Linked DNA regions of Diceros bicornis minor. The protein of the gene in region 1 binds, or shares a complex with, the protein of each later gene. Links are inferred from orthologs where the notes say so. Each region holds a gene or a part of one and is shown in the gene's direction. Other genes may lie near its edges.

Evidence for each region.
Region 2: TADA3 (region 1) and SGF29 share a complex: the UniProt entries of both Homo sapiens proteins name them as parts of the ADA2A-containing complex. The link is inferred for Diceros bicornis minor from reciprocal best matches to the Homo sapiens genes TADA3 and SGF29.
Region 3: TADA3 (region 1) and TAF5 share a complex: the UniProt entries of both Homo sapiens proteins name them as parts of the TFTC-HAT complex. The link is inferred for Diceros bicornis minor from reciprocal best matches to the Homo sapiens genes TADA3 and TAF5.
Region 4: TADA3 (region 1) and SUPT7L share a complex: the UniProt entries of both Homo sapiens proteins name them as parts of the STAGA transcription coactivator-HAT complex. The link is inferred for Diceros bicornis minor from reciprocal best matches to the Homo sapiens genes TADA3 and SUPT7L.

The regions. Positions count from the first base shown.
Region 1 is NC_080741.1:82,755,654-82,762,515, reverse strand, and holds the start of TADA3 (transcriptional adapter 3), read left to right. Parts: upstream 1-3,854; 5' UTR 3,855-3,941; intron 3,942-4,018; exon of another isoform or gene 4,019-4,164; intron 4,165-4,284; 5' UTR 4,285-4,342; intron 4,343-5,046; 5' UTR 5,047-5,072; coding exon 5,073-5,279; intron 5,280-6,654; coding exon 6,655-6,862. Other genes in the region: ARPC4 (actin-related protein 2/3 complex subunit 4), read right to left, coding at 474-592, 3,431-3,433. UniProt on the Homo sapiens protein: Functions as a component of the PCAF complex. The PCAF complex is capable of efficiently acetylating histones in a nucleosomal context. The PCAF complex could be considered as the human version of the yeast SAGA complex.
Region 2 is NC_080765.1:22,000,244-22,007,347, reverse strand, and holds the start of SGF29 (SAGA-associated factor 29), read left to right. Parts: upstream 1-4,104; 5' UTR 4,105-4,118; coding exon 4,119-4,253; intron 4,254-7,104. UniProt on the Homo sapiens protein: Chromatin reader component of some histone acetyltransferase (HAT) SAGA-type complexes like the TFTC-HAT, ATAC or STAGA complexes.
Region 3 is NC_080745.1:68,226,148-68,233,397, forward strand, and holds the start of TAF5 (transcription initiation factor TFIID subunit 5), read left to right. Parts: upstream 1-4,237; 5' UTR 4,238-4,245; coding exon 4,246-4,804; intron 4,805-7,091; coding exon 7,092-7,250. UniProt on the Homo sapiens protein: The TFIID basal transcription factor complex plays a major role in the initiation of RNA polymerase II (Pol II)-dependent transcription.
Region 4 is NC_080751.1:55,263,259-55,270,520, forward strand, and holds the start of SUPT7L (STAGA complex 65 subunit gamma), read left to right. Parts: upstream 1-4,248; 5' UTR 4,249-4,307; intron 4,308-4,456; exon of another isoform or gene 4,457-4,739; intron 4,740-4,749; exon of another isoform or gene 4,750-5,506; 5' UTR 5,507-5,608; intron 5,609-6,242; 5' UTR 6,243-6,447; coding exon 6,448-6,860; intron 6,861-7,262. Other genes in the region: SLC4A1AP (kanadaptin), read right to left, coding at 218-357, 680-740, 1,516-1,638, 3,088-3,283, 3,500-4,153.

The DNA.
Region 1 (6,862 bases):
TTATTTACAAAACATAAACCAGATAACACAAAATAATCCAAAATATGGAATATCTGGAGTAGGGGATGACACAATCCAGGTTAGTGAGGGGAAAAAATCCCTGATCTTAAATTAGAAAAGGAGGGAAATGACATCTCAGATAACTAAATTCTCCGTCCTCTCCTTAACCTTCCAGTGGGTTCAATAATGCCACAGGAGATCCTTCACAAACGGCCCTGCTCTGAGAAGTCATACCTTGTGTCAAGCAATCTTTGCTCCAGGGTAGCTTCTCCTCTGGGTTTTGTCCTATCAACCCACTGACCCTATTTTCTGAACTCCAAATTGGGAACTACTGTTTCTCTGGCAGCAAGACAGAATACATGAGCTGTAACTGTCCTGACAACTCCAGGACAGAGGCTCATGGCACCCTCTAGACAACAGCCATCTCTGGGTGCTGCACTCATCACCCCCACCCTGACCTTTTCCTTCCCTACCTGACTTCCACCTCTGGCTTGTTGTGTCGTTCTACGACCTGGGAGGAGAAATTCTCCAGGCAGAGGGCAGCCTGCAGCGTGGCCCGCACGGCACTCAGGTAGGGGCGGAGAGTGGCAGTCTGTAGGAAAAACCCCAAGGGAGGATCAGCATCTGTCTCACCAAAGCCACTGGCCCCCTACTCCAGCTCACATAGGAGCCAGGCAGTATGGAGGGTGCCCAGCTCTCAGACAACACAGTGAACAGAACAGACTAGGCCTTCAAAGTGTCTTTCATTCAAAGTCTAGAGCAGTGATTCTCAAGGGGACGATTTTGTCTGCCAGCGGACATTTGGCAACATCGAGACATTTTTCACTGTCATGACTTAGGGGGAGAGGTGCTACTGGCATGGAGTAGAGTCCAGGCATACCACTAAACATCCCTCAACACACAACAAAGAATTATTCAGCTCCAAATAGTGCTGAAGTTGAGAAACTCTGGTCTAGAGGCATACAGGTGAATGACTATCCTCCATCAGTCTTTTGAGCCAACAAATGGCTAAGTCCACTGTATGCCAGGCACTGAGCTAGGTGCCGGAAATTCAAAGATGATTAAGACCATCTCTACCCTTAAACAGCTCAAGTAGGAGGAGACAGAGAAAATAACTATGATATAAAGAAGGATGACATGTGAAATAATTAGATTTACAAGTTATATCTGCAGAAGAAATTGGTTTTGATTTGAAGATAGAAATAGGATTAGGTGAATTTTACAATGAGAAGCAGCAGAATAAGGCCATTCCCAGTAGAGAGATCAGCTTCTAGCTACACTGGCCTATCTTCAGTTCCTTTAATCAGCCAAGTTCTTTCTCACCTGAGGGCTTTAAGCATGCTGAACCATCAATCTGCAGGCTTTTCTCCCCTCTCTTTGCCTAAGTCATCCTTCAGATCTTGGCTTATTCAGGAAAGGCCTCTTCCTTCCCCAAAGAGGCCTTTCTTAACTTCCCTCTTCATAGCATTTATTATAATTTATAATGACACACCCTTCATACATCTTTAGTAAAGTGATTTCTCCTTCACTCCTAGACTGTAAGCCTCATGGTCAACAGACCATGTCTATTTTATTCAAATCTACATATGCTGCACCTAGCTCAGTCACTACCTAACATATAATGTCTTACCCAGTTTCTGCAGAATGAACGAATGAACGAAAGAACTTAAGGTTAGAATTACATAAAAGGGCATTAAGAGTTCCAGAAGCAGTAATGAGTACACTGTTGCTGTATATGGGAAGCATTTTAGATTCAACAGATAAGGCTGCAATGGCAGCCTGAAGATTCATGGGGAATCTCAAATGCCAGGCTACTGAGTGTAGCTTTTCTTTTAAGATGGTAAGGAACTGCTGGGGCTTTTTGAAGAGGAAGTTACACGACTAGAGCTACATGGTGACTCTGTGGAGAATGGACTGGAGAGGGAAGTGAGACATAAGGCAGAGAGGGCTATTTAAGGAGCGCTGATGAGAGCCTGGACAGGGGCAGTGGAAAGGACAAACAGAGGGGATCACAGGGGTTGTCCAGCATAATGGAATCCAAAAACAACTCCCAACAAACTATGGTCCATCCATACAATGAAATACTACTCAGTGATAAAAAGGAATAACTACTGATACACACAACATGCATGGATTGCAAATGCACTATGGTAAGAAGCCACACTAAAAAGTCTACATACTGAAGAATTCCATTTATATGACAATCTGGAAAAAACAAAACTATAGGGGGAAAAAAATCAGTGGTTGCTTGAGGGGCAGGGAGGACTGATTACAAAGGGATTTGAAACTTTTTGAGGTGATGGAAATATTCTTGATCTTGATGGTAACAGTGGTTACATGACTGTATTTGTCAAAATTCACAGAAGGTAAACCTGAAAAGGGTGAATTTTAGGTGGGCAGCCCAGTGACCCCCGCCCTTTCACAAATAAAACAGACACAGTCTCATGTAATACCTCAACAAACTTGATCTTTAAAAAATCAAGAGGCATGGCCTCAATTGGAAAAAAAGAATATCCCAGGTTTCTAGCTGGGTTAAGAGGACACAAAGCCAGAATAAGGGACATAGCAGGAAGAGCGATTAGGAGAAAAGGTGACTTTTGACCTGGAGGTCTCATTTCAGGCTGTCTTCAAGATATCCAGGCAAACCTTGAAAGAGACCTAGGAAAGCAGACTCAGGAGTCACCAGAATACACAAGGTCATTAAAGTCGGAAAACTAGTTAGCTATCAATAGGGAGACTGTAAAGAAGACGAAGGTGTTGAGCCAAAGTCTCAACTCCCAGGAACACTGACATTTATCAAACAGCAGGATTTCCAGGAAGGGAGGGATCAGCAGTATCAGAGCTTACATGCTACAGTAAGGCTGACACGATTGAGTTCTGACCAGGAAGGGGACGGGGTGGAGGCGGCATAAAAGAAATCTTTCAGCAAGGTACAAGCAAGGCTGGGGGCAACAAGAAGAGTAGGATAATTAAATGCGGACGCTTCCCTTGGGAAACTGCGGGGTCAAGTGGGCAGGAGACGACAGGGCAGTGTATCTAGTGCAGTTCTACTCTGGGTGGAGAGGCGGCTCTACTACGTGCCTCAGCAGCCCTACTACGGGCTACGAGACCTACTACACGCCTTCGAGGCGCTACCACAAGCCTAAGGAGCTCCGCTTCCGGTTTCCTCCATGCCTCAGGAGTACTCCCGACTCGCTTCGAAAGCCAGACCACGAAGCCGCAAAGCCTGGTGCTTACGAGGGCGTCCCCCGCTCGCCCCTTCCTCACTTCGGCCCCCGCCCCACCCTCTTTCTCCCAGCCTCATCGTGGCCCCACATCCCCAAGCATCCCTCGGCCCCGGGCCTCTCCGCTGCAAAGCTGCATCTCCCCCAGACCCAGACTCCTGAGGAAGAACAGCGAGGGTCCCTGGCCCGGGGTCCGGCTCTCTCACCATCGCGGGCGCTGGCTGGGCCGGAAAGCGGAAGTGCGGAAGTGGCCAGCCCCGCGACGCCTGCCGTTTCGCGAGAAGCGCAGCCGCAGTCTCCTCCCGGACTTCCGGACGGTACCATCTGTGCTCCGAGCGGGGGAAAAAGAGCCTAGGAACACTTGGTCCCTCGGAAGTTTTCCCGCCAGGACTGTCTTGGTAGTTTTAGACTCCTGAAGTTTCACCTTGCTACTCAAGCTCCTCCCGTTATCCATGCAGCTCTCGCTTGTGACTTTGGCCTTCTCGTCGTCTTTGCCGCTTTCTTCCCCCATAGTCATGTAATGGTGCAGCCAGCCTCAGGTTGAGTACCATAATAGGACAAGGCGAAGTGGAGGAGCCCTTCGTTTCTTCCGGTTCTGTGCCCCCGTCCTTCCTGCGAGCCCCGCCTACCTGCAGCTCCCGGGGTTCGGCGGGACTAACTACCGGGTGGAGAACCCGACTGCCGAGCCCCGCCCCCTGCCCCGGGCTGTTCCCTAGGGTACGATCGAGGCATACCGCCCCACCCCCCTACATTGCGCTCGTTCCCGGCCCGCCAACCCCCACCCCCGCAAGCCACAGTGAGCTCGCCTTCGAGTCTCCCCGCCCCCGCGTCAACTGCGAGGGGCCGGCACACAGCCAGTTCCGGGGCGGTTGCTCCGACAGACCGGAACTCCCCGCCGCCTCCCGCGGCCTGGGGGACCGTAGTAGGCTGCAGTGAGGAGGTAGAGGGGGAGGGGGCCGCGTTAGGGGGTCCCTAGAGGACGAGGACATTGAAGGCGAGACATTGGGGCCACCCACGGGGTGGTGCCAGCCAGTAAGCAGTCCCACTTTTTCTGTACCAGGCACTGAACTGGGCTCTTGACGGGCATCATCTCTTAATCCTCAGAACATCCCGGGGAGGTAGGTACTATTGTTATCCCCATTTTACAGATTCAGACTTATGGGGAAACAGACTTCAGGCTTCTTTTGTCCTCATTTTACAAATGGGAAAACCGAGACTCAGGAAGGTTAAATAACATGGTCAGGACTACATAAATAACGAATAGTAAAGCCTGGGCTGCAATCCGGATATGTCTGGCTTACCAGCCCACATTCTTAACCGCTGTCAGGGGCAAAGGTGGGGAGGGGTGAGACAAGGAGAGGCTGAGAGGCACAGAGAACATTATCGTTATAAGAATGAGATGCTTCCAACTCAGGGACTTAGCACAACCCAGGAGTGGAACAGAAGAGAAGAACATCAGAAAGACAGGGCATAGTATATGGTGGTGGTTAGGGGCATGGACTCAAAACTACTTGGATTCAAATTGCATCTTGGTAAGGTTGGGCATGTACCCACCCTTACAGAGTCTCCGTTGCCTTGTCTGTAAAATGGAGATCACCATGGTCCCTGCTTATGGGGTTGGATGAGGAATTTAATGAGAAGCTGGTAAAATGTCTGCACCTAGCTTGGCACACAGTAGATGCTCTGTGAGTAGCTGTGCCATCAACCTCGGCAATAGGGTACTGAAGCCTGGCTTTCTCCTTGAGGCTGTCCCTGGATAGAAGGAGCCCTTGGGCTTTTCTCGTGCCACTTTATCTCCCATCAATGGTCTTTTCCTCTCCAGCTCCACAGGGTCCCATATCCTGGGCCATGAGTGAGCTGAAGGACTGCCCCTTGCAGTTCCATGACTTCAAGTCTGTGGACCACCTGAAGGTGTGTCCCCGCTACACGGCAGTGCTGGCCCGCTCTGAGGATGATGGCATCGGCATCGAGGAGCTGGATACTCTGCAGCTGGAGCTTGAGACCCTGCTTTCCTCTGCCAGTCGGCGCCTGCGGGTGCTCGAGGCCGAAACCCAGGTGATACCCCCAGAGGGGGCGTCACCAGGGATGAACTGTGACAAGTTATGGGTTGGGTCCTTGAGTTAACCCCATCTGCTGAAGCCTGGGTTACAGAAGCTTAGCAGAGGAGAGAGAGACCGAAAATAGGCTTGTGTAACATGTAAAATATGCAAGAATATGCGTGATCCTCGTAAATTACAGGATTTCTAATTCAGTAGGCATTTATTGACCCCCACCCCCCATTATGTTCTGGGTCTTGTGCTAGTCTAGAGAGAGGTAATTAGGACAATTCTGGCCTTCAGGGAGTTTGCCAACTAAAGGGAAGGGGAGTCAGACAAGTACCAGGTGATGTGCTGTTACGTTTACGAGTCCTGGGGGACCTGGAACGGAGAGACCTGGATTTGAATCCTGTCCTGAGCACCTGCTAGTGTTGCTGTTTCCTAGCTTTGTGACTTTGAGAAAGTTACCTCCTGGCGCTGAGTATCAGTTCTCTATCTGCAAAGTGGGCTGAATAATAGGACCTACCTCAGAGCTTTTTGTGAGGATTAAAAGAGAGGGTTTTTTTGCAAAGCTGAGCCCAATGTCTGACACTAAGTAAGCATTTCAAATGTTATTTATTGGTATTACTATGATTATTTCTGTTCATAGCATAAACATCTTCTGAGCTCTGTGTGTCAGGTGCTCTGCCAGACCCTGGGGAACAGAGATGGTTCAGATGAACTTCTTGGTCTCTAGTAGCTTATAATCTAGTTGAAGAGACAAGGTTCTCTGTTCATTCCAGTGAGACCAAACAACACGATTGGGCCTACAATAGAGGTATGAAGTACCACAGACTCATAGAGGAAGAAGATGCCATTTCAACTGGGCCTCAGAAGATGAATAAAATTAACTTGTGGTCCTTGGGAATCCACTGAAGCTTTTTGAGCAGGTCTGTGGCACAGTCAGTTGTATTTTAGCATCTAGGAAGCTGGGTAACTGATGCAGAGAAGACTTCTCAGTTGTGACATTTGAAGTGAAGGTTTGCTGGGAGGCTTATTTGCCTTCACCAAAAAGTTATGACCAGCATATTTTCCCAGGGCTAACATGCACTGGGGTGTGATCATTCATTTGACTTTTCTGCTAAACACTATGTGACTGGCTTGGGTGCTACAGAGCTGAATCAGTATAGACAAACAATGAATGGAATGATGAGAAGTATATGAATAAAGTCCTGTGAGATGCACACAGAAAAGGAGCTGAGTTTTAAAGGATGAGTGGGAATTTGCTAAATAAAAAGGGGATAGGGGAAGGCTATGGGGCCTCTTGGAGTTGTAGATCCTGAGTTTTCACTGGAAGAAGGAGTTGTCCTGTGTCTTCCCTTCTCTCCCTCAGTGACAGTCTCTGTGAATTTCAGATCCTCACTGATTGGCAGGATAAGAAAGGTGACCGACGATTCTTGAAGCTGGGTCGAGACCATGAACTTGGAGCTCCCCCCAAACATGGGAAGCCCAAGAAGCAGAAACTGGAAGGGAAGGCAGGACATGGGCCAGGCCCTGGCCCCGGACGGCCCAAATCCAAAAACCTTCAGCCCAAGATCCAGGAATATGAATTCACTGATGACC
Region 2 (7,104 bases), on another chromosome or scaffold:
AACTGGGTGGACAACATCACATTATAATTTTGGGTGGCTTCCTGGACAGGGTAACAATCCTTGACTGTGTAAATGCCAATCCAGGTTCCATAGAGGCTAACTGATGGACCACTCCTGAATGGCGACGTGCCCCTGAGGCCCCCTGTGGAGTACTGGTCTTCAAGGGGTTCTGAAGAATGTCAAGAGGATCCTGCAGGCCGATCGGGGTGATCTTTGAGCATAGCTTGGTGGCTTGTTCAACGTGAAACATCACTCCATCCTTACAGAGGAAAATCTATTCAAATAATCTCTTGCTGGGGAAGACCAGCAGCTTGCAGGTTGAGGGAGTGGTGAGAGAGCAGGTCGTGGCTGTGGAGCCCCCTACTCTGCGGGGGCCTGGCACTCTGCTGCCCACTGCCCTGACCCCCACGCCACCCCAAGCATGAGCCTGAGCCCAAGGGGTTGCTGCGCGGCTACAATCCCATTTCTGTTTGAAAAATTATTTTAGTTGTTGAAAAAAAGGCAAAGGGGCTAATGGGATGTGTCCCAAACTCTCCACAGTGGTTATATCCTTTTTTGTGTGTGTGAGGAAGATCAGCCCTGAGCTAACATCCATCCCAATCCTCCTCTTTTTGCTGAGGAAGACCGGCCCTGGGCTGACGTCTGTGCCCATCTTCCTCTACTTTGTATGGGACGCCGCCACAGCATGGCCTGACAAGCTGTGTGTCGGTGCGTGCCTGGGATCTGAACCTGCGAACACCAGGCCACCGACACCGAGCGCGTGCGCTTAACCGCTACGCCACAGGGGCCGGCCCCTGTGATTATATCCTTGACCGAGGTTATGCAGAACTTTTCCTTTCTGCATTATAGATTCTAGATCTCTGCAATGTTTGGCTTCTCACGGTGTATATTTATTTTAGAAAGAGGAAACAAAAGTAATTTTTAAGAGTTAATTTATTTAACCCCCTTCCTCCATTGGGTTCCATGCCTACCATGCCACCTTCTGGCCATGATATGGCTTCTTTTGTATGTGTTGGGGGCAAAACCCATTAAATGTGAATAGTTACGATTTTCCCCACCTACCTGCCATGGGCGGTCAGATCCAAAAGAGAGCTTTTTTGTTTTGCTCAAGTGGGTGATGGCTGGGCACGAACAGGGACTAGCTGAGGGAGGGGTAGCTGGCTTTACACGGAAGATGCCTGAAGCCCTCATGCAAAAGGCCAATTATGTGGGGGAAGGAAGCAACGAGGAGGGAGAGATGTGAGCATTGTCCTCAGCAGTGGAATTCTGTGAAGGGAGGGACTTGTAAAGGGACTGTTAGGAAGGCATGATATGTAACTCCCTCCTCGTGTCCTCAAGAGACCTTCAGTAAAGATCCCCGTGACTTTTCAAGGCTCTTTGGAAAGGATTTCAGATGTGATGTTCTGAAGCAATGAGACTCAGTATAGACCAGGAAAGCCTAGATTTCTTTGCCATGCTGTGGCTGTCTCACAGGAAGGGACTGTGCTGCCCAGGCAAAGGGAGTGTTCTAGTCAGTTCCACCATTCTAAATCTCCCTATATGGTTCATGGGGCTCCTGGTTTATACCTCTGTCTCTTGTGAGTTGTGTCAGTGTGAATCTATCCTGAGAGGTTGCTGACAAAATGGAATTTCTGGTCCTGCAGAGCTGAGGACCAAAATCAGTAACAGTCACCCCCACCAAGATGCTGCCCCCTCAATGACTCTCCCTGAGCAGAGATGATAACTTCATTTTCTCTTTCATCTAATAAATATTTATATTTAAAAATTATATTTATATTTATATTATGCGCCAGGTACAAGGCTAAGTGCTAAAGATACAGTGATGAGCATAAACAGATATGAGCCCAGGCTTCATGGAGTCTATAATCTAAGGGGTAAGAGATAGGCCAAATTAGGTTACAAACAAATATAAAATTGTGACATTTGTTTTACCATCACAATTATGTAAGGTCTACACTTGGTTTGAGAGATTATATCAGAGGGATGTGACCCAGTCAGGGAGATCTGAAGATGAGTAAGAGATATGAAGGGAAAGAGGGGAGGGAAATGTGCTCCAGGCAGCCTTTGCAGAGGCCTGTGGGAGAAGGGACACGGCAGGTCTGAGAGACCTGAAGAAGCCTGGGGAAGCTGAAGTGGAGAGGGAGGTAGAGTGGGTTGGGAAAGGAGGCCGTGGGGCAGGAGGCCGGGGGTGCCAGGACACGAACACACTTGCATTCATTCTGGCCAGAATGGATCAGGGGAGGCAGCTTAAGGAGCTATTGCTCACTGCCACTAGTGGATAGACATCCCAAAAAATCTTCACACAGGCCACAAGGGGACATGTATGAGTTCGTTCACTGTAGCATTGTTTGTGGTAGCCAGCAGTTGGAGGCAATTTAGAGGCCCTTCACCGTGGGTCCAAATAACTAAAATATGGGTGCCCGCTATCAAATATTGCACAGTTATTCTAAGTAACAGGCTAGGGGTACACACAACAAGGACAGGTCTTCAAAGCATGGTGCTGAGTGGAAAACGTAAGAAAGAGAACAAGGTTTATAGTACAATACCATTTAGCTGAATTAAAGATAAAGGCACACTAAACAACACAAATGTTTTACAGACACACACACCACTGGGGAAGACGGGAGGAGTGAAGAAAAGAGATAAAAGGCCATCAATATACAAAACAAGAGAGGGGCCATGCAGAGCCCAATGATGACAGTGTGCCATAAAGTGAGAAATGAGTGATTCAACCTCCGCATCTGGGATTGAAAAAAATAAAAAGCTTCTTAGTTATTTAGGCAAGAACGGAAGTACCTTGGACTAGGGTAGGTGCGGTGGAGATGAAAAGTGGATGGACTCTGTCATATGAATGAATACATGTAAAGCATTTCAACAGTGCCTGATACATGGTAAGTGCTCAACACATGAGCTGTTATTGTGTTTATACTGCAGACACTTAGTGATGGATTGAATACAGAGTGGGGAGGGAAAAGGTGCTGTCGAGGATAACTCCCAGGTGCTGGCTCGGGCCCTTGTTGCAGAGAGGGAGGTGAGAAAATGAAATCTGAGGACAGGTGATTCTTTTGAGAAATGTGGATGTGAAGGGGAAGACAGAGCTATCCCTTACATATAGACAACCCTCTAAAACACTTTTAAAAAATTAATCAAGTAATACATGTTTATTGTAGAAAGATCAGAAATTAAAGAAAATTCAAAAAAACAATTGTGAGCCCCAAATTTCTCTGGTGGGGCAACTAAGGTTGATATTTGACATTCAGGAGAAATAGCTCCTGAGACTTACAAATGTAAAATTTGTGAAATCCCTGCTATACGCCTCATAAAATGCAAGAGATAAAGCTGAGACTGGGTAGGTGGTCATGCCATTGAGATAGACACCACAGAAAGAAGCAAGCTTGATGGAAGTAAATGATGTGTTAAGTTCTGGGCTGAAACAGTTTGTGTTGAAGTCTGAGATTCTTCTAATGAATAGAAAAATATTAAGGGCTTATTGTGTGCCAGACACTGAGTTACAAACTGGGAATACACAGGTGAAGGAAACAGATGATCCTGACCTCACTGAGCTGGCAAGTGTATCAATAATCAAACAAATAAATACATAACCATAAACTTTGGTAGGGGGTATGGTATGTAAGAAATTATAAGATGCTGGGATGTAAACCATTGTAGCTAAGTATTTGCTCACATCCTTAATATGTTCCTGGGAAGATTCCCTAAAAGCACGATTTCTGGGTCTACAGATCTGCTAGTTTTTATTTATTTAAAAATTTTAAAAATAGACTTTATTTTTTGGAGCAGTTTCAGGTTCACAGCAAAACCGAGGCAGAAAGTAGAGCTCTCATATACCCACTGCTCCCCCCTCAATCAACAATCTACTCGTTTTTTAGGTTTTTAAAAAATTATTACTATTTTATAGCGGCTTCGGGGAATAGGAGAGGATACTGAAAACGCACAAGAACCCTGGTTTGTTAAAACAAGGTTCAGCTGAAATGGTCGACAACAGCGTGTCAAAGGAAAGACTACATTTCCCAAGGGGCAGCGCGGTACGTCACAGAAGAAGGACGGCGCATGCGCAGAGTGGTCCTCCACGACGCGACTCAAAGAAAGGAAAAAAACGTATGCGGTTCTCAACGTGCCGCGAATCTTCGAACGCAAGCGCGTTATTATCCGCAGACTTTGAAAAGGATTCGAGGAACGCGCCTGCTTCCGTCGTCGCAGTTTCCAGCGCGACGTTCTTGTTCCACCGTGGCTCGGTAGGCAGGGATGGGTCGCGGTCTGGGAGCCCCCCAGCATGGCGGGAGCAGAGGGCCCAGGCGCCCCCCTGCTTCCCCACCCCCTCGGGCCGCGCTGAGGCGGCTGTGGAGTGGCGATGCGCACGCGCCTTGGGCCAGGAGAGGCGGGGCTCGGGGAGGGAGGGCCCGCGCCCGTCGTTGGGGTCTGCGCGTGCGCTGCCGGCCCTGCGAGGGTAGGAAGCAGCCGCTGGCGGGGCTGGGCGCGGGGGCCGGCGGAGGCGGGGAACCCAGTGCTGGTGCGAGAAGATGAGAGCTGAGGACGGGCCCCGAGCTCTGGCGTGTTTTATTATATGCTCAGGATGTGCCCATTTTAACTAAACAACCTCATTCTCCCTCCAGGTGCCTCCTCATCTCTTTGCGCCGGTTTGCAGCCAAAGCTTCAGTCTGTACTTACTAGCACCGTTTCTCCTCCGAGTCTCTTCTGAACCCACTCCAGTCAGGCCTTGGCCCCCGCATGCCGCTGAAATAGCTCTTTGTCAAAGTCACCAATGATCTTTAGGTCGCCAAAATCAGTGTTTAGTTCTCAGTCCCGTAGCAGTGTCTGATGCGGCTGATCACTGCCCCTTCTTGAAACATGTTCTTCATTGGGCTTGCGGAACATTCTCGTCTTGAGCTTCAGCTCTCTCTGGCCTCTCCTCTGCTGATTCTTGCTCCTCCTCCTTATCTTTAATGATTGTGCTGCCCCAAGACCTCATCCTGGATCTCTTCTCTGTGTTCAATTCCTAGGAGTTACCATTTCAAGGCTTTAAATATTAATACCACGTATTGTGCTAACTCGCAAATTTCCATCTTCAACCAGTGCCCGACCTTGAACTCCAGATTCTTATATTCAGCTCTTGCATGACGTCGCCTCTTAATGTCTAATCAGCATCTCAAACATGTCCAAAACTGAAATTTGGAGTTTTACCCTCCACACGCCTTCATCCTCCCCAGTCTTCCCATGCTTCCAGTTGCTTAGGCCAGACACCTGAGTTATCCTTGGTGTCTTTCGCTTCTCCCGTCTCCTCCTCCTCCATCCGTCTATTAGCACATATTTATCCTTGAGGCGTTGAAGTTTCATTGCTGGGTGTCTTATTGTAGGTATTCTCTTTGGCACTTGGTGGATCCTTTCTGCCTGAGAATTTGTGTTTTCAGTTTTTTGGCGTTCTCTGTCATTATTTATTCAGATTTATCTATTCTGTCCTCTATGGGTGTTCTGTCCTCTGTGTCCCTTTTAGAGTGTTTATTTCACCTACAAATAAGTGTTTGGAACTATTTGTTTAATATCTGCATTCATTTCTAGACTGGAGCGAGACAAGGACTGTTTGTCTCATTCACTGCTGTATATCCCTCATGTCTGGCACAGAGTAGGTAGGTGATAAATGTTATTCAATGAGTGAATTTCTTTTTGCTGAGGAAGAGTAGCCCTGAGCTAACATCTGTTTCCAATCTTCCTCATTTTTTTGCTTGAGGAATCTTAGCCCTGAGCTAACATCTGTGCCAATCTTTCTCTACTTTATATGTGGGTTGCTGCCACAGCGTGGCTGGCGAGTGGTGTAGGTCCGTGCCAGGTTCGGAACCCATGAACCTGGGCCGCTGAAGTGGAATGCGATGAACTTAACCGCTATGCCACAGGGCCGGCCCCATTGAATGAGTGAATTTATAAGGAGGAAGTACCTCTTCTCTATAGGTGGGAAGTAGACAATCCTTCTTAGAGTATGTTGATAGCAGCTAATTTTTTCTCTGCGGTTGGGGAGGAGAAGATATTGAATAGCCCAGATTCAGAATTGTTGCAGTGTTTCTAAGACGAAAGACTGTTTGAAGAGGTTTCCAGGATTCAGTTCAGTTCAGCAATCTATTTTGAGGACTTAGTAGGGGCCAGGACCTGTGTTAGTTGCTGAGAATATAAAATGCATAAAATTGCATCCCTGTCTTCCGAGAGCTCGTGGTCTGACAGGAGAGACAAGTAAATGAAACAGTGTCTCAGTGTATGTGTGACAAGTACAAGAATGGAATTTTGTTTATGGTGCTTCGGAAGTTTTGATTGACCTTGGCATCAGGGCAGGTGAGAGGAGCCTGGGGCAGCCAGATCCCCCTGCCAGGTTTTTCTGCCTGTGAGCAGCTTTGCCCTTTTACCCCAGCGTGCTATACAAATATTATCACGTTCTCTGTGTGCTGTGGTGTGAGAAAGGTTGGCAAGTACTGCTGTAAAAGTGTTAATTTTGCTGCCATTTAATTTGGACCCTGAATAATGAGTAAATTTGAGAGACCCAGGGGGAGGAGGGAAAAGGATCAAAGGGCATTTCAGGCAAGCATAACAGAAGCATGAAAGTCTGTGTTGGGGGCACTGGAGTTGTTCAGTGTGGTTATTGGAGGGTAGGGTTCAGTAGGAGAGGGCCGTTTGAGAGGTGCTGTCCAGGATCTGAAGCAATGCCTTGAAAGTGTTTTATAAATACCTGACCCAACCATGAAGCACCCTCTTCTCAGTGGGTAGGTCCATTAGAGTCCATAGTTTTAGCAACCAACTTTGTGGAGCTGGAAGTAGGGACATGCAGTAAGTCACAGGCCTTTTTTTATGATGTCTAAATTTGAATATAGAGATTCTTATAAAAGTTTTAAAAATGAATCTCATGTAGACTTTGGATGAATCATTTGTATTGAAAAAATACCCAATTTATGTCACTTCAGGATTTGTGGTCACTATGTCTGTGGTGTGGAGGGTAGTTTGGTGGACCCTGAACCAATGGTAGTTGAATGTTGATGATACTAAGGGCTGTTTGAGCCCTTAAGGCTTAGGTTGTGCAGTCAGACGTATCTGGATTTGAATCCCTCC
Region 3 (7,250 bases), on another chromosome or scaffold:
AGTTCAGACCAGCCACATTCAGTGGCCGTAAATAGCCACACACTGATAGACAGTGCAGGTCAGTTTACTGCAACCACTTCCAAACTGAACTTGCTATCTCTAGTCTTGCTTCCCGCTGATCTTTTCCTCCAATTCAGCCTGAGACATATAAACACATAAGTCTGCTTATCCCCTTCCTCAGATTAAAATGGTCCAACCGCTTCCTATTACCTTAGGGATAGAGTCAAAAGTCTTGAACAGGATTGATTTTTGTCAGGATCCAACCCTGGCTAAGCTTTCTGGTCTCATCTCTTCTTCCTCCTCATGCTGATGCTCCTGCCATAAAGAGTTTTGTTCTATTTCTTAAATATGCTCTCACCTCTCTCACTTCTGGTCCTTTGCACATCCCCTCCCCTCCCCCTGCCACCTGTCCCAAGGTTTCCCTCTAGCACAGTAAACATTGTTACTGTCTGGGCTCCATCACTCCTTTTGCCAACACATGCACACACCCACACCCACACCCACACCACACCCACACACACCCCTCAGGAAACTTTCCTGTAGTCAATTGCTACTTTTGACATTCCTCTTTCCAGAGTGAGGTGGGAAAGAGACAAACACAAATAAAGGGCTTTTCCCCAAACTAACTCTTGTCTGTGGCCCCCTGACCCCTTTCACTTTGAGCTGCTATTACATACACACACACATACACACCCTTAGAGTTTTCACAGTTTTTACAGATCTATCAGTTTCAGTATCATCTCTAGGGTTGGGTATGACGGGGAAGCCAGCCACCAGTGTGAATTTAAACTTAAGAACTAAACAAGATGGCAAACTCACACTTGTGGCTGGCTCCCCTGTCACGCCCAACCCTAGAGATGGCATTGTAATTTATAGATCTGTATAAACTGTGAAAACCTGAGGATACGTGTGTTTGCATGTATGCGTGTGTGTTGGCAAACAGGGAGTGACGCAGCCCAGACAGTGACACCACAGTCTTTCCTCCTTTTGGCGCATCCTTTGCCTTTTCCCAGTGCTGGGCTTCAGCCTCTCCCTCTGGGTATACATATCAGCCAAGGTAGCTGATACCTCCAGGAAAATACAAATGCATGGAGAAAAGTAATGAGATGCAGAAGGAGGTGCAACTCCCATTAAAGCAAAAAATGGAACAACCTAGACTAGATGAAACAGATTAAATGCATCAGATGGAAAGATAATTTAAAAAAAATAACACATATCCTCGAAGAGAAAAGAGTTCATATTGGTTACATCAGGGTTTCTCAACCTTGGCACTATCAACATTTTGGGCCAGATAATTTGTTGTGGCAGGGGTGGGGCTGTCCTGTGCATTGTGGGAAGGTTAGCAGCAGCCCTGGCTTCTACTTGCTAGATGCCAGTAGGACCACCCCGAGTTGTGACAACCAAAAGTGTCTCCAGACGTTGCCACATGTCCTCAGGGGAGACAAAAATCACTCAACTGGGTTACATGAAGCAGCAACAATAAATCATGAAGAACCAATTCAAAATACTATGGAAAATATAATGGTTGAAGTAAATAACTCAATAAATGGGTTACGGAGCAATATGGATCTAGGCCAAGAATGAATTACTGCACTGAAAAATCAGGTAGAGGAACGCTTTTAGAAGGTATCAGGAAGAGGTGAACATAAAAATATGAAAGTTAACAGACCTAGAGGAGAGACGTATAAGTATCAATATCTACATCACAAGAATACAAGAAGGGGAAAAATAGAGGGGAGAAAATATTTGTAGATCTAATGCTTGCTAAATTTCCAGAATTAAAAAAAATATCCCAGGGGCCGGCCCTGTGGCTTAGCAGTTAAGTGCGCGCGCTCCGCTACTGTCGGCCCAGGTTCGGATCCCGGGTGCGCACCGATGCACCGCTTCTCCGGCCATGCTGAGGCTGCGTCCCACATACACCAACTAGAAGGATGTGCAACTATGACATACAACTATCTACTGGGGCTTTGCAGAAAAAAAAAAAAGGAGGAGGATTGGCAATAGATGTTAGCTCAGAGCCAGTCTTCCTCAGCAAAAAGAGGAGGATTAGCATGGATGTTAGCTCAGGGCTGATCTTCCTCACGAAAAAAAAAAAAAATATCCCAGACTGAATGGGTGCATAAAGGGCCAATCGGAATAGACAGGAAAAAGGTAATCCTAGATACAGTAGAGTGAAATGAAAGAACATCCAAGACAAAGAAAAACATCCAGAGAGAAAGAGCAGCTGTTCTATAAGGGAATAAGATATAGATTGACACTAGACTTCTTAAAGCATCCCAGGAAGAGAGTAGGCGGAGAATGGGAGTAGGGATCAGAAAGGAAGCGGAAAAGAGAAACAAAAATTAAAAATGGGACTTGCGGGCATTCAATAAACATCTCTACTGTGGTGTAACACAAAGCCACTCTACTTGGAGTAGGCAACCTTGGCTGAAGTCTCAACCCAGACTCTTTGGAACTTAAGAGACAAAGTCAGGTAAAAAGCAGACGCCACAGATGGAAAGGAGGTGGCTGTACTTCTGTGAGTCCTAGTGTCTGGGCTTCAGCTGTACAGGTGGATCCAGTTCCCAGGACTTGATTCACGAGACTAATGTATGCATCAGAAAGTTAATTTCCTAGTCATAATGGGGTAAAACATCTTTTCAGTGAATAGTAAACACACCTGGGCTTGTTATTCACGGCATCTCTCATCTATCTAAATGTTCAATTAATTATTAAGTTAATTAGTGAATACTGAATCAGAAAAAGTGAGTTGAATGATCCCGAAGAAAAGGATGAATTCTCCCCACCTCATAAGAGTGTACCATCAGATTCAGGTTTTCTCTCTCTGGGCCAGTGCTGAGTGAACGCTAACCAATTCTTGCTCATCTTCTCTCCCCCACCTCCAACCCCATGTTTCATATTCTTACTTTAGATAGCCAATTAAATTAGTTTTATATTTCAGTCTTGAGATCACCCTGAACATTATGATTGGACTTTCTTAACAAACATTTACAGAACACCTTTTAGGGGCTGGCCCAGTGGTGCAGCTGTTAAGTGCTTGCGCTCTGCTGCAGCGGCCTGGGTTCGCCAGCTCGGATCCCCGGTGGGCTCAGACGCACCGCTTGTCAAGCCATGCTGTAGCGGTGTCCCATGTAAAGTAGAGGAAGATGGGCACGGATGTTAGCAAAAAAAAAAAAAAAAAACACCTTTTAAGGTGAAGTAAAAATAACCAATAGCTATTTATTATCTTAGGTATCACACACGCTTTACCTCATTTAATCCTCACAACAACTCTATAAGGTAGGTACTATTATTATCATCCCTATTTTAGAAATTGAGCAACTGGAGTAGAGTGAGTTAAGTAACTTGTTCCCGGTCATTCAAGGAAGCCAGTAAGACCTCAAAACAACAACCTGAATAACTGTGCCAGATCTTCCCGATGTCCCAGGCTCACTTTTCTTGTCTGTACCTATCCCACAGAGTTGTGAGGTTCAAATGAGATAAAATACACAGCAGTGAAGCATGCATATGAATGAAGCTTATTGCAAAACGGTATATACTATTTAAAAATATACAACTAAAATGCAGTTTATTTGTAATAATGGATAATATAGCATGAATACAGAATGTACATATTTCACAATCACAAAATTCAGGTACTTAAAAACTTTTTATTGAAATATATATGCTATAACGTTCACAAAGCTTAAGCGTGCACTCGATTTTTACAAAAAGAAAAACTGCAAAAATAAAATAAAAATAAACACCATCTAGATCAAAATATAAAACATTACCATTATCTCAGAAGCCTCCCTCTGACAAATGATATATGCTTTTGAGTTAAAGACCTGGATTCGAATCCTGACACTTTGCACTTCCTTCTTGTGTGACTTTGGCAAGTTATTTAACCTCTTTGGATCTCCGCCGAACAATCTGTAAAGTGAGGATAACAGTACCTTATAAGATTGTTGAATTAAAGGTGGTCATATAATGTAGAACGTCTATCACAGTGCCTGAATATAGCTGGTCTGTAATAAATGGTAATTATTATCAGGCAAACGTAATAGGCGGCTGCCTACTCTCACTTCCTGCCTTTCTGTCACTCACTTTCGAAAGCTGCCCTGGCTCCCATTTCTCTTCTCCTTCTTTCTCGCCCCTCCTACTGCCGTAAATTGCCTTCCAGAACTGTCGTAAAATGCTCCTCCCCACCCTCCATGTGGCGAAAACGCAATCACGCTTGACGGCGCGAGGTGGCTCAGCCGCAAGATGGCGGCGCTGGCGGAGGAGCAGACGGAGGTGGCGGTCAAGTTAGAGTCTGAGGGACCGCCGACGCTGCTACCTCCGCAGGCGGGGGACGGCGCTGGTGAGGGTGGCGGCGGCACTACCAACAACGGCCCCAGCGGCTGCGGCGGGAACGTTGCGGCGTCGTCCTCGGCCGGCGGGGATGGCGGGACCCCCAAACCCTCGGTGGCTGTCTCCGCCGTTGCCCCGGCGGGGGCGGCCCCGGTGCCCGCCGCTGCTCCGGAGGCCGGCGCTCCCCACGACCGACAGACTCTGCTGGCCGTGCTGCAGTTCCTACGGCAGAGCAACCTTCGCGAGGCCGAAGAGGCGCTGCGCCGTGAGGCCCGGCTGCTGGAGGAGGCAGTGGCGGGCTCCGGAGCCCCGGGAGAGGCGGACGGCGCCAGCGCTGAGGCGGCTAGCGCGCTTCTCAGCCGGGTCACAGCCTCGGTCCCCGGCCCTGCGGCCCCCGACCCTCCGGGCACCGGCACTTCGGGGGCTGCCGCCGTCTCGGGCTCAGCCACAGGTCCCGCGGCTCCGGGGAAAGGTGAGCCGCGGGGTCTCGGGGAGGCAGGGCCGGCAAGAAGGGGAGCAAGCCGGGAAGGCAGGGGATGGCAGGCCTGCACCTCTGCGGGCTTGTTTTGAATTTCCTGGGCCCGCCTCTAGGGCCACATGCCCGCCCCTTTCTCTAGTGCGCCGGCTGCGCAAACCGTCTTCCGAGCTGTCAATTCCAGCGAGAGGCTGAGGAGAGCTGTTGAGCAGAGGGATGTATGGGGAAGGTGGGCGCGGAGAGGCGGGGACTTTCATGCTCTCGGTCCCTTTCCTCTTATTTGGGCTGTGGAGCTTTTAGCAGCTCTACCTTGACACTAGCAATATTTGTACAGTTCTGTACTAGCATACTTTAAGTACTATAAATACTTGAAGTTGTGTATCTTAATTCTTACAGTTCAAACTGTGACGTAGACGTTACCTCTATTCTAGAGATGAGAAAAAAGACTGAGAAAGGCCAAGAGACTTGCTCTGGATCACACAGCCAGGGAGTGATGGAACTTGGTGTAGCCAGTATTTCTCAAAATATAGGCTAAGGACCACCAGTGTTAAATCTTTTGGGGAATGCGGATTCCTGGGCATCACTTCAGACTAAGTGAATCAAACCCTGTGGAAGTGGAGACTAGGAATCTGCATTTTTAATAAATGTTTCCAGGGGGTATTGATGTATGACAAAGTTTGAGAACCGTTCGTTTAGGAATAGTGGTTGGGGGCCGGTCGGCTCCGTGGCGTAGTGGTTAGGTGCGCGAGCTCCGCTGCTGGCAGCCTGGGGTCGGATCCCGGGCGCGCACCGACACACCGCTTGTTAGGCCATGCTGTGGGGGCATCCCATATAACGTAGAGGAAGATGGGCATGGATGTTAGCCCAGGGCCAGTTTTCCTCAGCAAAAAAGAGGAGGATTGGCAGATGTTAGCTCAGGGCTGGTCTTCCTCAAAGGAATAGGGGTTGGGGAGACCTGGGTTCAGATTCTGTTTCTGTTGCTTTTTCTTGTGTGATGCTGATTAAGTTATTCTTCCTAAGCTTGAGCTTTTCCCCCCTCTATTAAATGGGTTATTGTGAGGCTTGGATATAATATATGTACAATGCCTAGCACTGATAAGTTTATGACTAGGTGTCCATCCCTGACATCTGAGGGCCCCCCCGCCCCTTTTCCCAGCAACTGTTGTCTCCAAGTCCATGTAGGAGTAAAACTCCTACACAATGTAAGGTCTTAAAGGTGATCCTGAGTTGATAATAAACATTTATTGAATTAAATTATCTAGTGCAGAGCCTCTGGGCAAATTAATCTGTATTTATGAAACCTAATTTTTGCAGCATTGCCAGAGTGAAGTATAATTAGATAGCACTGTAACTCATTAAAAGAAATGTGTGAAAATATGATTGAGAGGAATCTTTTCTGAATGCTAAATTTTGCACATGAACTATAAGATGGATGAATTATGTTGTTGGTTATTTTACTGTAATCTCTCATATCTTCAGAAACTTGACCTATTTTTTTAGATCATAACTCAGAAACCAGTAAGGAGGAAAAGAAGCCATAAAAGTGATTAACAGATTTTATAATATTTGTGCAGTAAAGAGCATAACATAACAGTTGCAACTTAAAAATTGCCAACAATCAAACTGATTTGATTGACAGATGTATCATTGTTTGGGATTGCTATATTACAAATAAATACTCATGTTTTCTGCCTTGAAATGGTGGTTATGGAAATTGTTTTAAGCCTATAAAATTGAATTATCTTTTGGAAATATAAATAAGGCAAGGTCCTTCCTGCTCTTAAAATGCTTACGTTTTATGAAGAGTAATAGATGTACACATGTGAAGGTAACATATGATGGGATGTATTACAGGAAAGATACAAAGTACTTACGTAGCTCAGAGAGCTGGGACTATTACTCCAGGGCATGAGTTGGTGGTGGTGGGTGCCGTTTGCACTGAGCCTTGAGAGAAGATTAATATAGTTTTTTGATTTGCACATACCTTGTTTTATAAAATTTGTCTTTAATATAAGGTAGCTCCAGGAAAAATAGTGGATCTTTTTGTTATTGATTTGAAAATTTTATTTTACGATATGGACAAGCTGAAGGAGTTTTGGATGGGTGACGGAAACAAAGTGAAAATCCCATTTAAAGATCACGTGGTTGTGTTGGGGAAGAGAGCTTGAGAGGAGTGGGAGAAACATTTGAGAAACAATTCATCTCTGGACCTTAGTAAAATAGCCCCAGTTACTTGGTACATAACATGTCATTTTCTTGAAAGTTGTTTTCATTTTTTAAACAGTTGGAAGTGTAGCTGTGGAAGACCAGCCGGATGTCAGTGCCGTGCTGTCAGCCTACAACCAACAAGGAGACCCCACAATGTATGAAGAATACTATAGTGGACTGAAACACTTCATTGAATGTTCCTTGGACTGCCATCGGGCAGAGTTATCCCAACTCT
Region 4 (7,262 bases), on another chromosome or scaffold:
TCTCGTTCTGAACACACATCTATATGCACAGAAACTGTCTGGGAGAATATAAATAAACAATGGCTACCTTCAGAGAGTGAGATAGGGAATTTTTTCTTGTCACTTCATAGAATTTTATACAATTTACATTTCCCTCTAAAAAAAGGTTTTGTTACCTTTTGTATTAAATTTTCCTTTTTTTTTTTTTTAAAGAAAAAACATGTTCCCACATGCTCACCTGCCTCCTGCCTCAGCAATCCCAAAGTATCGAGGATTCGACAAGCTTCCAGTGAGCATTGGATCATAGCTTCTTTTTTCTTTCCTGAGTGAATGGCCTCAGCCACCAGTTGTTTTCCAGTTGAATCATCCACAGGTAATCTGCATCAGTTTGAAGGGAATTATAGCACAGCACTAAGCTCCAATTTTCATGAAAAAAACTAATACGCTGTGATAATAGTCATGTTTTTTGAGATGGCTTTTTAATCTCTCAGTTCATTTTGTTTTATCTTGCCAAGGTTGGATGTCAAATCTTTTCCTTCTCTCTTACTCATCCCACCCCACCCCCCATTAATATGTGTTACTAAACTATCAAGGCCCAAATTCAGGAATAGCCTAAAATTAAGACTAAAGTTACTCTCTGGGTTATTGTCTATAATCGTAAATTACAGCTGTAATGGACATTTATGAGAAAAGAACATACCTTACTCTACAGAGCCAAGTGCTATGTCCCTGTTCATCAAATTCATATTCTAATTCTTCTCCTGTGGGAGGAAGAAAGACAAAACAATTTTAACAGCATGTGACAATTACTAGTTGATACAAGGAGAAAACAGAGCAAAGGTTAAATAAGAATATCAAGTTCCCATATCACATTGACTACTTCTCATTCCTAGGGATTATCATCCAATAATAAAATTAGGATGAGCTTGAGGCAAAGAAGAGCAAACTCAGATCAAAACAATCAACTCTTCATTCATAGCTTTGACCACTGTACAGTAGCTTTCACACTTTTTATAAGTTGTAGACTTAAGCTGTTAATTCATCACAGTTGCCTGGTTTTTAGAAGTACATGTGTTAAGTGCAGAACACAACCAGTTCATATATATATTCATACACACACACACACACACACACACACACATATTCTCTCAAAGCATCTCTACTGAAACAATTGTCTGTGGAAACAATCTTTAATCATATAAAATGAAAATTCAAGGTAAGAATTACAAAAGATCAGGTGAATTAGAAACAAAAAATTACAAGAAGTTGGGCCAATCTCCCCACCACCCAAGTCTAGGATTTTTCGAGAAGAATGAGACAAGCCAGGAAAAAGTACTTCCTTTTTTCCAAAATGAGAAGAAAGACTAACAAGATTTTTACTATTTTCAAAATAAACCTGATGCAACTGACCACAAGGATAAGAACTAAACAAGGAGGAGAGCAGATAAAATATAGCATTTCTAAGTACCTGAAGATCTAGAAAACAACACTGCTGTGGATACATTTTGCTGGCAGCGTCAGAATCTATTTACATACCTTCTCGGTCAAAAAACCCTTGGAGAGCCTTTTTTGGATCCTTTATATAAAAGGCCTCCCTTTCCTGCTGAAACTCTAAGACAATGGGGTTCTCTTCAGCCTCATCCTCTACAGCATCCTCTCCTACAGGAGATGGGAAAGAAAGAAAAGACAATCAGACATAAGAGACTATTTCAATGACATCCATTATTCTTTCAGACTGCATAAAGATACAGTTATCAGTCATGAAAAGAAAGGGATGGACCTGCAAAGGATAACCACAAAACCACCAGTAAGAGTATCTTCAGGTTTTCTAAATTGTATGACAATTAAAACTTGTTTTCATGGCACCTTATTTTTTTTTTTTCCATCACTACATTTTAAAAGCAAAATTACCTACCACATTGTGTACAGAAAAAATCTAAGCTCCTCAGCCTGGCATCCTTGTTCTCTTACACCCGGGTCTAATACTTGGTCTCCAATAGAATTTCCTAATGCATATCGTAACTACCAAATAGACTGGTATACTCATTATTCCCTTAAAATCATCAATCCCTGCCCTGAATACCACTCCCAATGCTCAACTTCCCAAGGGATACTCTTCTTATCCTTCAAGTCCCAGCACAAAACCCTTCTGTTTATAAACTTATAAACTTTCCTAAAGATCTAAGTCAGTGCTGCCCAACAAAAATATAATGAAAGCCATATGTGTAATCTTATATTTTGTAGTAGCCACATTAAAAAAGTAAGAGAAACAGGTGAAATTACCAAGTAATCAATATAAAAATATTATGAACATTTCACATTCTTTTTTCACACTAAGTCTTTGAAATCCAGTGTGTATTTTACATTTACAGCACATGTCAGTTTGGACTAGCCATACTGTAAGTGCCCAATAAGCACATGTGGCTAGTGACTACCATATTGGACAGCGAGGTCTAAGTCCTCAGTGATGGCTCCCTTCTCTGAACTTTTACTCCAGCATATTTATGGTTTCTAGCTTTTGTCTGGCACTTACCACAAGTAATTTCATTTATCCTGTCTTCCCAACAACATATTAAGGCTATCTTCTATCTTTTTATATTCCTACCTCCTAAACACCCATCTTCCAAAATGTCTGGTGTTGTGGAAAATTCAATTTATTCGTTTGGCTAAGGGACCAGCTTTCCCTGATTAGATATTTCACATTTCAGGGTATTTACACAAAGTACAAAAGATTCGAGGTAATATCCTATATTGAAAACATTCCATTTTATTTGATTGAATGTAGTTCCATCCCCTCCAGTGATAATCAAGGTCAGTACTTATATATTTTTTTAAATGGTAAAAAAAATAAATTGTATGCTGAAGAACAGTTTTGAACAAGACTGTACTGTAAAACACATTAGAAGAAATCCATAGTGCTCATAGTTCAATTTCTTGACATCAGAAAAGTAAGGAATCTCTCTGAGTTTTGATAACTTCATGTGCAAACAGTATTTGTCCTACCTATCTCATAGAGTCATGAACAGCCGTATGATTAAAAAAAAAAAAAAGATACTGCTAGCAATGAATTTAAAATATTAACCTCTGGCAGCAATTGTAATTTCTTACCCATTCCCCAGGTGCAGCCCACTTCATCATCTTGACCACTAGTATTTTTCTTCCTTTCAGTGGTATCCATTTCCTCCTCTTCATCTGAGTCTTCTCCTAGCATCTTCTTCTCCAACATCATTTGCTGCTGCTTGCGCAGTTCCTTCAATTGGGTGACTGTCAACTCGGATTCTGCCTCTCGGTCTTCCTCTGGTCCCTGATGAAACAAGCGAAAGAATTCTTTTAGAGTTCAGGATTGTTGAAGTCACTTTCAGAAATATGGCAATGTATACAGAGATCTGGACATGAAAGGCCAGATTCCACTTTTGTAATCACTAACTGGGAGAATCTTCTTCCTCATTGAAAGCTTAAAGAGCTCAGGAACCCAGCCCGGTGGGCTCCAGAAATTTCAATTCTAGGTTTTTCTACTTACCTGAAGAAGAAAGAGCCGGGTGCTGCCTCCAAAGCGAAGAACATGCCCGACGTGGATCCGACAATAGGTGCGGGGTGGGACGCGGGTTTTGTTAAGAAAAGTGCCGTGGGTGCTTCCCAGATCGTAGAGGTAGAAGCCGGGCCCGTGGCCGTCGCATTCTCCCTCCGGGCCGGGCGCCCGGTGCTGCAGCACGGCGTGATAGCGAGACACCGAGGGGTGCTCCAGGCATACGTCGCAGCTAGGCAGCCTCCCGAAAAGGCAGCAGCTCGTCCCTTTCAAGCTCCGGGTGCCAAGGATGGTGCCGCCCTTCAGGGTCTCTAGGCTGTAGGGGGCTGTGGCAGGGCCGCCCCACGGCGGCTCTCGGTAAGGCGGGGCCCGGCCCGGGCCACCAGGGGAAGGAGCCGCTGCGAGGGGCCGCGGCTGCTCCTCTGGGGGACTCCGAGCCTCCCCGCTGTCCGGCGGGACATCAGGCTTCTCGGAATCGGGGTCCAGCAGCGCCGTGGGCCTTTCCTTCTTCACCTCGTCAGGGTTTGAAGGATTGCGGTCCGCGGCCTTGTCCCGCACCGCCGGGGGCACCGGCAGAGCTGGCTTCTTGAAGTCTCTACTGAGTTCTTGCGAGGCCAGCGGCTCGCACTGAGTGGGACTATCAGCCATCCTCAATCGGGTGCAGTCTCGAAATCTGTTCCTAGGAAACGTCACCCTTCGGTCTCTACGTTCCTCTCCGCGCCTCCCTCTCCCCAGCTCCCAGAGGCTTCTCTGGCCAGCGATGGTGGAGTTGCTCCTTCACGACCCAGAACGCTGTGAAGAGGTGAGTATCACGGGAAGATCATAACAAGAGAAAAACAGAAAAAGGCGGTCGGGGTGCTGTCAGAATGGGGACATCTTTAGAGGTTGCAACCGGATTGTAATAACTTCCTGTGGCTTAGCTTGATTGAGAAGAAACGCTTCCGGCAGGCTTGGACCGCTAATCAACAAACCAGCCTTCCGGGCCTTTCGCGACCCTCGCCTCAGGCCTCTGGGGCCGTACGGCCGCCCAGCCCGGCTCCTGCGCCGCGGCAGTGAATAGTGGCGCCTCCGTGCCTCGGTCCAGGGTCAGACCTGCCGTCTGCCGGCCGCTCCGAGCATCAGGCGACCCCAGGATCCTGTGATTGGCGCCTGCGCCCGCTGACCGTGACCGAGGAGCCCCCCGAGGGACTTGGGCATTGCTTGGGCTTGGTGCCTCCCCTTCGTGCTCCTTTGGGTGAAGTTAGGGAAGAGGGCGGTTTTTTTTTTCTTTCTGTCATTTTGTTCATTCATTTATTCGTTCATTTTTATATGCTTTCCGAAACCAGTTAATGAGGCAACGTAGTGTAGTTGTTAAGACTGCAGACTCTGGAGACTGACTGTCTTGATTTTCCCTCTCAGCTGTTTCTGACATTAGGCAAGACAGTGGGCCTCACCTTCCACATCTGAAAAATGGGATAATAATTTTGTCTACTTATAGGGTAGTTGGGAGAATTGAATTAAACAGTAAAGGCAAAGGCTGGCACATAGTGGGCACTAATTAAATGCCAGATAATTACTGTGTTGCAGACACTGTACTAAGATTGTGGTCGTGAGGGATAGATGAGAGAATAAAATTGATTGCGATGAATACTAGTTAAGTCTAGGGATAAATGCTGTGACAGAGATATGCAAAGTGCTGTGAGAATATAATGAAGGAGGATGTACTGGGTAGGTGATGGAAGGTGGTGACTTAAGCTATACTTAAGAATGAAGACAAGTCTGCCAGGGATGTGGTGGGTGGCAGGGCATTGCTGACAGAGATCACAGCTTAAAGAGTCAACTGTGGAAATGCATGGCATTCTTAAAATGAGTAGTATGATACCGTTAGAACTAGGGTGGTCATTGTCTCCAGGAATCTCTTCCTTTGTGCTTCCACTGCACCAGGTCTGCACCTCTAGAACAGCACTAAGCCCACACTTTCATATTGAAGCGTTCTGTTTATGTTTTTCTCCCTCACCCCAGGTCGGAGATCTTGGCCTTAGTCTTTGTCTCCTCACATAATACCTGGCATTTGATAAATGTTTGTTGAATTTGAAGAGACATATGGGCAATGAATCTGGAAAGGTGAGTTGAAGCCAGTTTGTAAATTTTGTTGAATGGAGAGCCAAAGAATTTTGACTGACTTTTTCCTGTAGACAATGGGAAGCCATTAGATCTGAGTTAAAAATATTAAGTCTAGCAGCACTATGGAGGATAGATTAGATATAAGGCGAGACTAAAATAAGGAATACCAGTTAAGAGGCAGCAGAAATCTCCCAGATTCTTCCCTATATATGTCAGAAGTTGCACGCATAGGACCATTTAGACTGGTGGTTAATAGCTTTTTTCACCAGATCAGTTAAAAGGTTCCCATGCCTGATACACATAGTATAAGAACCACCTCTGTCTATCTTTAACTCTACTCCCCTTTCTCCCACTGATCTGGGACAGATATGTCAAAATACTCTTGAGAAATATTCCAGGTCTCATTTAAGTATCTTGTCTTGAAAATTGTTCAGGATTGGGCATGATGGTAGTTCTAGTAATGAGTTAGGGGGGTGAGATGGAAAACATGGACACTACAGCCCCAGATACTATTGCAGCTGTTAGTCTACTAGTGACCCAAATTCCACCTTGTGGTTCAGTCTAATATGAATTGTCATTGTGTGTGATTGTGATGACTAGCTTCTAGCAGTTATATTTCTCTTAATTTCTTCAGGGAGAACATCTTCGGTCCTACAGTGTTGGTGACACTGACATTTTTCTGAGTGGTCCTGAACAACCTACTTTTTATGTAAATAACGGGCTAGACTTCATATTTTTCACTACAGAAGTTTATAACCTACAGTTGCCAGAGATTTAAAGACACTAGTTTAGGATATCATCTACATTTAACTTGGAAGCTCTTCCTTTCTTATTCCAAAATGTTGAGATACTGGGGAGAGATACCAATCTCATCAAGCCAGGCCAACAGAAGTTCCTTTGATTTGCTCCCACGGGAGTTCCGTCTGGTGGAAGTCCATGACCCTCCTCTGCACCAACCCTCAGCCAACAAGCCCAAGCCCCCCACTATGTTGGACATCCCCTCAGAGCCATGCAGCCTCACCATCCATACCATTCAGCTTATCCAGCACAACCGACGTCTGCGCAACCTCATTGCCACAGCTCAGGCCCAGAATCAGCAACAGACAGAAGGTGTAAAGACTGAAGAGAGTGAACCTCTTCCCTCCTGCCCTGGGTCACCTCCTCTTCCTGATGACCTCCTTCCTTTAGACTGTAAGAATCCCAATGCACCATTCCAGATCCGGCACAGTGACCCAGAGAGTGACTTTTATCGGTAAGGCAAGGCTTTGCTGTGTCTTACTTTTTTCAAATAATCTTCCCAGCAACCCTGTTAAGCATGTAATAACATTTCCATGAAGAAACTGAGGATAAGGGTAATTGACTTGGCCACAGTTGCTCAGGTAATTAGTGGGAAGTCTAAGACTTGAACCCTGATCTTCCAAATCCAAAGTCTATATTTTTTTATTTTCTGATGCAACAGATATTTATTGAGTGCCTGCTATGTGCCAAGCACTTTGCTAGGAGCAAGGTACTACACTGGTATGTAAAATAGGCCATGGCCTCATAGTCCTCAGGGTCTAGTCTTTCTGTTTAATTTAAAATGTATATTATGGGTTTGGCTCAGAGTCCTCAAACTGAGATTCATGGACTCATTCTCGTACTATTAGGAATCCAC